Linked DNA regions of Tribolium castaneum. The main gene of each other region encodes a partner of the protein of the gene in region 2 in a complex. Links are inferred from orthologs where the notes say so. Each region holds a gene or a part of one and is shown on either strand. Other genes may lie near its edges.

Evidence for each region. The genes of interacting proteins can lie anywhere in the genome.
Region 1: eIF3c (region 2) and eIF3l share a complex: the UniProt entries of both Drosophila melanogaster proteins name them as parts of the eukaryotic translation initiation factor 3 (eIF-3) complex. The link is inferred for Tribolium castaneum from reciprocal best matches to the Drosophila melanogaster genes eIF3c and eIF3l.

The regions. Positions count from the first base shown.
Region 1 is NC_087394.1:32,526,600-32,530,672, reverse strand, and holds the start of eIF3l (eukaryotic translation initiation factor 3 subunit L), read left to right. Parts: upstream 1-1,273; 5' UTR 1,274-1,357; coding exon 1,358-1,396; intron 1,397-1,533; coding exon of another isoform or gene 1,534-1,561; exon of another isoform or gene 1,562-1,616; coding exon 1,617-1,880; intron 1,881-2,007; coding exon of another isoform or gene 2,008-2,137; exon of another isoform or gene 2,138-2,392; intron 2,393-4,073. Other genes in the region: iPLA2-VIA (85/88 kDa calcium-independent phospholipase A2), read right to left, coding at 222-524, 574-664, 711-915, 2,008-2,137. UniProt on the Drosophila melanogaster protein: Component of the eukaryotic translation initiation factor 3 (eIF-3) complex, which is involved in protein synthesis of a specialized repertoire of mRNAs and, together with other initiation factors, stimulates binding of mRNA and methionyl-tRNAi to the 40S ribosome.
Region 2 is NC_087401.1:16,334,285-16,338,550, forward strand, and holds the start of eIF3c (eukaryotic translation initiation factor 3 subunit C), read right to left. Parts: upstream 2,801-4,266; 5' UTR 2,669-2,800; intron 2,422-2,668; exon of another isoform or gene 2,419-2,421; 5' UTR 2,414-2,418; coding exon 2,324-2,413; intron 2,274-2,323; coding exon 1,509-2,273; intron 1-1,508. Other genes in the region: beag (protein Red), read right to left, coding at 3,151-3,890. UniProt on the Drosophila melanogaster protein: Component of the eukaryotic translation initiation factor 3 (eIF-3) complex, which is involved in protein synthesis of a specialized repertoire of mRNAs and, together with other initiation factors, stimulates binding of mRNA and methionyl-tRNAi to the 40S ribosome.

The DNA.
Region 1 (4,073 bases), on a different chromosome or scaffold from region 2:
CTCGTTTTTTATTATTTACTAGTTCAATGGAATTTTTCTATACTCTAGTGTAATATTTGATATTTTCCACATAACACAAACGAAACAATGCTCAATGGAAATGACCAAGGCCTTTACAAATGTTAAACTAAAAAAAGGTATTTAAAATCGTCAGAAAAAAATCTTTAGAATTCCTTATGTACAACTTTTCCGTATCTAATTTTGCACAATTCAATACTTACGGCAATGATATCTTTGGTGGTGCTAGCGGCGTAATGGAACACCGAATCAGAGTTGTAATCGAGATGTTCCAAAGACGCATTCGCAGCAACCAAAACTTGCACCGTCTTCAAATTCTTCGTGGTAATAGCAACTTGTAGTGGCGAGATCCCAGTTTCATCATCAGTACTATTCAAATAATTGTTAATCTTAGAGTCTTTAAAAGAATCATAGAGACTAAAATACGCCGCCAAATGGGCCAAGTTCCAAGAGGGGTGTTCCGCAAGAACGTCACAAATCTTTTGCAAACCTTGCACATTATACATCTGAAATAAAATTCCAAATAATCGTCTTTTAACAACTACAGCAAATTACTTCTTTCGAAATCTCAACAAACGTGGGTAACTTATCCTTCAAGACACAAAATTTCACTTCAGCTTCGTCAAGATTTGGCGAGCGGTATAAACTAAAAATTGATTTTTTTAACAGTTGACGTGTTCGGGGGCACAAACCTGTAGGTTTGGTGTAGGCTTTCCGTGTACGGGCGATGGAGCACAATTTCGTAAGTGGCCCCTTTTTTCTTGTCAACTGTATTAGCTGGGAGGTAGAGGACCAATCCATCTTCCCGTAGGTGAATCGCTCGGTCGGAAAAAGCGTCTGATTTGGCGTCAATCACTTTGGTTGGGGCGGGTTCTGAACTGAGGAAGCTACGTAAAACTGCAAAATGAAGAATAATATTTGTACCATCACAAAGCAGGGGATTACCACTTGTAAATCCTTGGGCAAACATTTTATTACTTAATATCTATTCATACGGTTACGAACACTAATCACTCACTGAGATTGACTACCGATCATTGTGTTTTATTTAAGAAATTTGTGATTTCATAGTTCAAGGTTTGTTCGAACGAGCAATTGGGGAATGAGGTTAAATCACCGGCTCAGTAAATTTGCATTTAGATTAACATCATGTTTATTGATCGTTTTATTTTAAAACATTTTTCTCACTTACTCAGCGGAAATACTTTTGAAAATGAGAAAAAAATGGAATTTCTTGCACCACCTCGAGTAGAAACCTGTAATTTGTAATTGTCAAACGTCAACTGGCTTCGAGGTTAAGTGCAAGACCATTTGCTCGCTATAGTGGCGTAGGCATATAATGAGTAAATTCAAAATGTTTTCCGACGATTATGAGCAAGTGAGTGCTTCAAACACCTAAAACTTGAACAATTTATCCTTAAACCTACACTGGGTTCTATAAAACTCTAGTAAAAGCTTTGCAAATTGAACCATGTGTCTCAAGCCTATTTGTAAAAGTGTGGAAATAATACCGACCTACATGTTTAGCATGCACCATTCCCATAATTCGTGGCAGCAAAATTGACAATAAATTGGACACTGATTTTCATTTATTTCAGGGTTATGAATACAACAGCTATGATGAGTATGGGGCTCACACAGGAGACCCCAACTTGGACAACGAGTACAATAAACAGCACCTAAAGATGCCGGAAATAGTCAAAAACTTCCTAATCTATTTCCGCAATTGCGTGAATGAGGGTTTAATCTTTGAGTTGCAAACTTTGTATGAAACTTCGTGGCCAAAACTAACCGAAGATTATTTCGAGAAACGCCCCTGGCCAGAAGAGTCAGAAGTGTCAGCGCTAGTCGACAGTGATCCCGTGAGTAAATCCATGACTATTTTACCTTCCGCCTCGATTTTGTCTTTCACTTGGTCTAGTATTTTACCCCCAGTTTCACTCTCCTGGACATCCTTAATTTTTTCCTTTACGTGATCAATTATTTTACCTTCTGTGCCAATGTCTTGGACGTCCTTGATTTTCTCCCTAACGTGTTCACTTTTGTCTTTGAGTTCTTCAGAGATTTTCTCTTTGAGCTCTTCTTTTTTGCTCAGGAGTTGCCTTTTGTAATGCTCCATTGCGACTGTTGGAAGCAGTAGCAGGGAAAAATGAACATAAATGGGTTTTATTATGTCTTTAGCAAAAGGACACGTCAGAAGCGACCTAATTACAAAGAAATCGCTCAATATCTATGATTCTTTGATGTCTATTGATTGTAAAGTTTTTGCTTAAATATTTATTTACGCAGCATGGGCGAAAAAAATTGGTTTAAAATAATAATAAATACGACTTTTGGTTTTGGACTTTAATAATGCGATGAATAATATTAAAATAAATAAAAATAAATAAATAAAATAAAAATAGATTTAACGACAAAAAATAAACTTTGAATAAGGTGCTTACAAGGTCATATCTTTTCTAATACTATACAGTTTCGACGAAATTCTAAATTTCATTTCATTTAAAGGTAATCGATTTCAAAATAAATAAAACAGCTTTTTCCTACATTTTTTTGAATTAGGAGTATACCAAAGTCAATAATAGACAAATACATTTCCAATAATATTTTTTCTCGAGGCTTGAGACTTCTTGAAATAAATCATAAAATTTGCTTATTAAACGAATTTTTGTTCTATAAATAAGTAAAACGCTTAACCAAGTAAATTGCATAAACAAAAAAAATTATGTTATAATCAACTGAATTAACAGAACTGTCTTCACAATTTACTAAAGAATTAACTTTGAGTATTTACCAACGAAAATTTGAATACAAAGTCTTAATTAGGCCCAAAAAAATCGTGAGAATCTTCAAAGTAGATTATTTGTTGTCCTTAAAAACTCATGATAAGATAAATAAATTGAGATCTCAACGGGAAAACTATTCAACTGTTCGTCTCTCTTTTGAAAAATAAAATATGCTTTTAAAAATATAAGAAAATCAGTGATAAATCGTAATAAATAGACGGTACCTCAAGCATTTTCCTAAAAACAATGTTTAAATTAAACCTAGGTACAGAATTTTGTTGCATAAATAAGTAAAATCGTTAATCAGTCATTTAGTTAACAAAAAAAAAAACATGTAATGAACTAAATTAACCAGGAACTACCTCCACAATCTACTAATCATATTTCTGTCAACTTCTATTTTCAAATGGCCTATCTTTTTCAAAAAGATAGTAATATTTAAAGTGATGAAATTAATTGAAATGAAAATCGTTATAAGTAATTGATTACCGACTGGACGCGTATTCGCCTAATAAAAATTGAGTTTAAAATAAGTATAAAAATCTGTGAATATTTTCGAAAGAACAAAAATATTTACTCATAATAGAAATATTATGAATGATTTTTTTACGGATTCAGGTAATACTGAGGGAGTGTATACCAAATACAGCGTGCTCAAAAACTGGCGCACCAACTCAGTGGTGTGTGGTAGAGAACTGGTTACATATAAAGGTAAAAATAGTAAAAAAAATCTTTGTATTACTGTTATTGATAAATAACTAATTTTAGGTAAATGATATGTGGCAACGTTGTCTAACAGTCATGATTGCAATAGAATTTGAGCAACAATAAAAATAAATTATTTTTGAAACGGTTTCCTAGGAAATAATTCCCAGTGTTGGCACATCTACACATTGTGATTTTTTGGATGAGTTTTAATTTTTTTTAATTAAAAAAACTGCTAAAATCTGATAGTAAATTTTAAAATAATTATTCATTGTATTGTTACGGAACGATAACCTGGTATGAAACATAGAAATATAAAAAAATAATGAAAACTAAAGAAGTTAACACAATAAGTTTGTAGCTCCAGATTTTTTAAAATATAACTTTAGAAATTTATTCAACATTTTTCCCGTAATCTGCACTTGCTTCTCAATAACGTACCACTGAGTTGGTGCGCCAGTTTTTGAGCACCCTGTATATAAAAAGTAGTGAGATTACGGACGGGACACAAAAATTTATCTTACGTAACAATTTTATTATAACATGAAAACTTTAACCAAAATA
Region 2 (4,266 bases):
AATAATATCTTTTCAAATTTTTAATATGTTAGAGAAGAAGGTCTTCTGAAGCTGTTTTACAAAAAAGAAGTTCATTGCTCGATGTTATCCAATCAAGACAGCGGAATTTTTAACTTTGAGTTTTATTTGAATTTTTCAAGAATGGTTATTTTTGACAGACTCTCACAAGAAAACCAAAAATAATATCTTTCCAAATATTTAATATGTTATAGAGGAAGATCTTCTGAAGCTGTTTTATAAAAAAGAAGTTCATTGCTCGATGTTATCCAATCAAGACAGCGGAATTTTTAACTTGGTGTTTTATTTGAATTTTTCAAGAATGGTTATTTTTGACAGACTCTAACAAGAAAACCAAAAATAATATCTTTCCAAATTTTTTATATGTTATAGAAGAAGGTCTTCTGAAGCTGTTTTATAAAAAAGAAGTTCACTGCTCTATGTTATCCAATCAACACAGCGGAATTTTTAACTTTGTGTTTTATTAGAATTTTTCAAGAATGGTTATTTTTGGCAGACTCTAACAAGAAAACCAAAAATAATATCTTTCCAGATTTTTAATATGTTATAGAAAAAGGTCTTCTGAAGTTGTTTAATAAAAAAGATGTTCATTGCTCTATGTTATCCAATCAAGACAGCGGAATTTTTAACTTGGTGTTTTATTTGAATTTTTCAAGAATGGTTATTTTTGGAAGACTCTCACAAGAAAACCAAAAATAATATCTTTCCATATTTTTAATATGTTATAGAAGAAGGTCTTCTGAAGTTGTTTTATAAAAAAGAAGTTCATTGCTTTATGTTATCCAATCAAGACAGCGGGATTTTTAACTTTGTGTTTTATTTGAATTTTTCAAGAATGGTTATTTTTGGAAGACTCTCACAAGAAAACTAAAAATAATATCTTTCCAAATTTTTAATATGTTATAAAAGAAGGTTTTCTGAAACTGTTTTATAAAAAAGTTTTATAAAAAAGAAGTTCATTGTTCATAATATCTTTCCAGATTTTTAATATGTTATAGAAAAAGGTCTTCTGAAGTTGTTTTATAAAAAAGAAGTTCATTGCTTTATGTTATCCAATCAAGACAGCGGGATTTTTAACTTTGTGTTTTATTTGATTTTTTCAAGAATGTTTATTTTCGACAGACTCTAACAAGAAAACCAAAAATAATATCTTTCCAGATTTTTAATATGTTATAGAGGAAGGTCTTCTGAAGCTGTTTTATAAAAAAGAAGTTCATTGCTCTGTGTTATCCAATCAAGACAGCGGAATTTTTTACTTTGTTTTATTGATTTTTTCAAGAATGTTTATTTTTGACAGACTCTAACAAGAAAATCATAAATAATATCTTTCCAAATTTTTAATATGTCATAGAAGAAGGTCTTATTAAGCTTTTTTATAAAAAAAAAGTTCATTGTACTGTGTTATCTAATCAAGACAGCCGAATAACAAAAGAAAAGAGGTCATTCCTCATTTTTTTTAATAGAAAAACATTTAAAGTACTGATACTTACGCTCGGAATTGCGATTCCCCCCTTCACAAACTCCCACTCCCCTTCCCCATCCTCCTCATCCTCCTTCTTCACCTTCCGCCTCTCCTTCTCCTTACGTTCCTTCCTCCTTTCCTCCTTCCTCCGATCGCGTTCTTCATCATCTTCATGCGCCGGCCCAGTTTTCTTCAAAAACCGCTCCCTCATAGTCCCTTTCCCTTCATCTTCATCAAAACTATCCGAACTCGAGTCACTATCACTAGGCCAATCGTCCGAATCAGACGACCCTTCATCATCAACAATCTGTTTGGAAATTTTAGCCACAGCTTTGGCCGGCGCTTCAGTTTGAGTGTCTGGCTCAGGCTCGTGTTTCTCTTCCTCTTCTTCATCGTCCGGCTGGTCGGGGTTTTCCCTAAACTTGGCAATATCCTCCTCGAAATCTTTGATGTACTTGCGCAACTTCTGGCGCATTGAAGCCAAAGACTTGCTGTTGTTTTTGCTCATGTTTTTGCGTCCGTCGCGATCTTCCCACATTTCGTTGATGAAATCTTCCATTTCGACCAAACAACGGGTGAAGAAACGGGGCGTTTGCCCCGATTCTTCTTTCGCGATCACTGGGAGCGCTTTAACGTAGGCCTTCTGAAGGTCTTCAAAACTGGTCAACATGCTGCTCATGTCTTTGATTTTTTTGTAATTGCGGATTTGTTTGATAATGTTAGTGAGTTCCTCGTAACGCTTCTCTTTGGCGGAGCGAACCACACGTTTGACCTCCTCTTCATCGTCGCTAAACTAGAAGGGGGCCATTAAAAAAATGTTAAGCTACATGGGGGCTCACTTACGGTGAAAACGGGCGCTGGCGCGCGCTGAATTGGCTCTTCCTCGGAGGAGCTGTCGGAGTCTGAGTCCGAACCGGCGAAAAAACGACTCATTTTTTTACCTACAAAGTGACATAACCTCAAAAAAATTACGTGAAATAACGCAATAACTAGGCGTTAAATTGGCGTTAGGTAACGGTTTTTCGCTTCTTTGGGCCAAATGAAGACCGAAAACTTAATTTAAGACTACTTTAAAGCTAGTTACTGGGGCCCATGTGGTTCATGTTTGGAGACGGAACTCCCCAAAATTATAGTTAGAAATGTCGGAACCACAATTTTAAGGTAAAATACACGTGAAAGAGGCAAAACTTACGTGTTTAAAGCCTTTTTTTCACTTAACAGATTTTCCGACACGATTGTAACCACAAAATGGCCAAAAACTTGTGCCAACTGTCAAAATCGGGACTTTTTTGTCTTGTGATTGGTAGTGTTATGGTAATATCGTAAAAAAAGGGCAAATTAATTTGTTTTTGGGCACGAAAGGGCCCTTAAGTCGAGAGCCAGGGTTAGGTGGTGGTATTTAGGTTCAAGTTGTGTCAAAAGTAAGGATTCTACGGTTAAGATACCAAAGACGTACAAATGAAACGCTCGCGTTTTCGGTAGTTCCTTTATTGTCACCAGAGAGCGCACTTGTTCCATTAGCAGATAGCAAAGAAAAAATACAGGCACATAGAGCATTAAACTCTCGATAGTAAGACAAAAAAGTAAGGAACAAAGTTGTAGAAAATCAAATTTCCAATATATATTTTTTATTTAAATTAACTTATTTATCTCCTAAATACACAACAAAATTATTTCTTCTTGATAATGCTTTGGATTTTTTGCCACTCCCTGTCCAAATGCGCCTTTTCGTTCTTATCCTTATGCTTCCTGGACCTGCGCCCATCTGCCATTTTAAGGCCGTACTGGAAGGCTGCTTTCGGCAAAGCCTCCTTCTGGTTCATATAATCGGAATACTCCTCAGCTGTGTCAAAGTCCCAGCGTCCAATCGGCCCCTTTTTATTCCCCAAGTCCATCTTAGAATAATCAACCTCATCATCAGAATCATCAATCGCATCGTTCATTTCCTCCAATCCGGGATAACACTCAGCATATCCCTCAGGCTCTTGAGCCAGTTTATTAAGGATTTGTGCCGATTTACTGACTTTGAAAGTCGGTCCGCTATTTTCAAGCGCTTCCTCTTGTTTATCAAAGTACGTGTGTTTGTTATGGTCACGTGACGAGTTTCCATGTTTACCACTTCTTGTGGGTACGTAATCACCAATATCTCCATAGATGGAGTCATCACCGGTTGTACGTTTTGTTGTTTTTTTCGGTTCGGGTTCTTCCGGTTGTTCGTTTTCGCGACTTTCGGGGAGTCCCCGTTTGGTTTTTTTGTTCTTTCGGTTGCCTTGGCGCAAGTAACTTAAAATTTGGGTTAATTTATTTATGACAATGTCGTTGGTTGTGAGGGTTGTGGTGAGTTCAAATGACGGAACGTCGGCGATTGAACGGATTAAAGTTGTTGGAATGTCTGATTCAGCCTCATCGTCTGAAATAAAATTTTAATAGTCATGTTGGTATTAAATTAATAGGAATTTTAACATTAAAATTCATGTAAAAATTTTTAAAAAAGAATCACAAAAACCTTTAAAAAATCCAAAAAGAAGTACAGAAACAATGCTAGAAAATAAATAAGAGCAATTCTAAAAGAAACTAGAGAAGAATTTTTATAAGCGAGAGAGGAGAATATAAAAAAAATTGCGGATTTAAGATCTAAAGAAGTCTTTAGGAGATAATCATAAAAATCTTTAAAAAAATCTAAAAGACAGTAAAAAAACAATGCTAAAAAATGAACAAGAAGAATTCTAAAAGAAACTAGACAAGAATTTTTATAAGCGAGAGAAGAGAATCTAAAGGAAAATTTT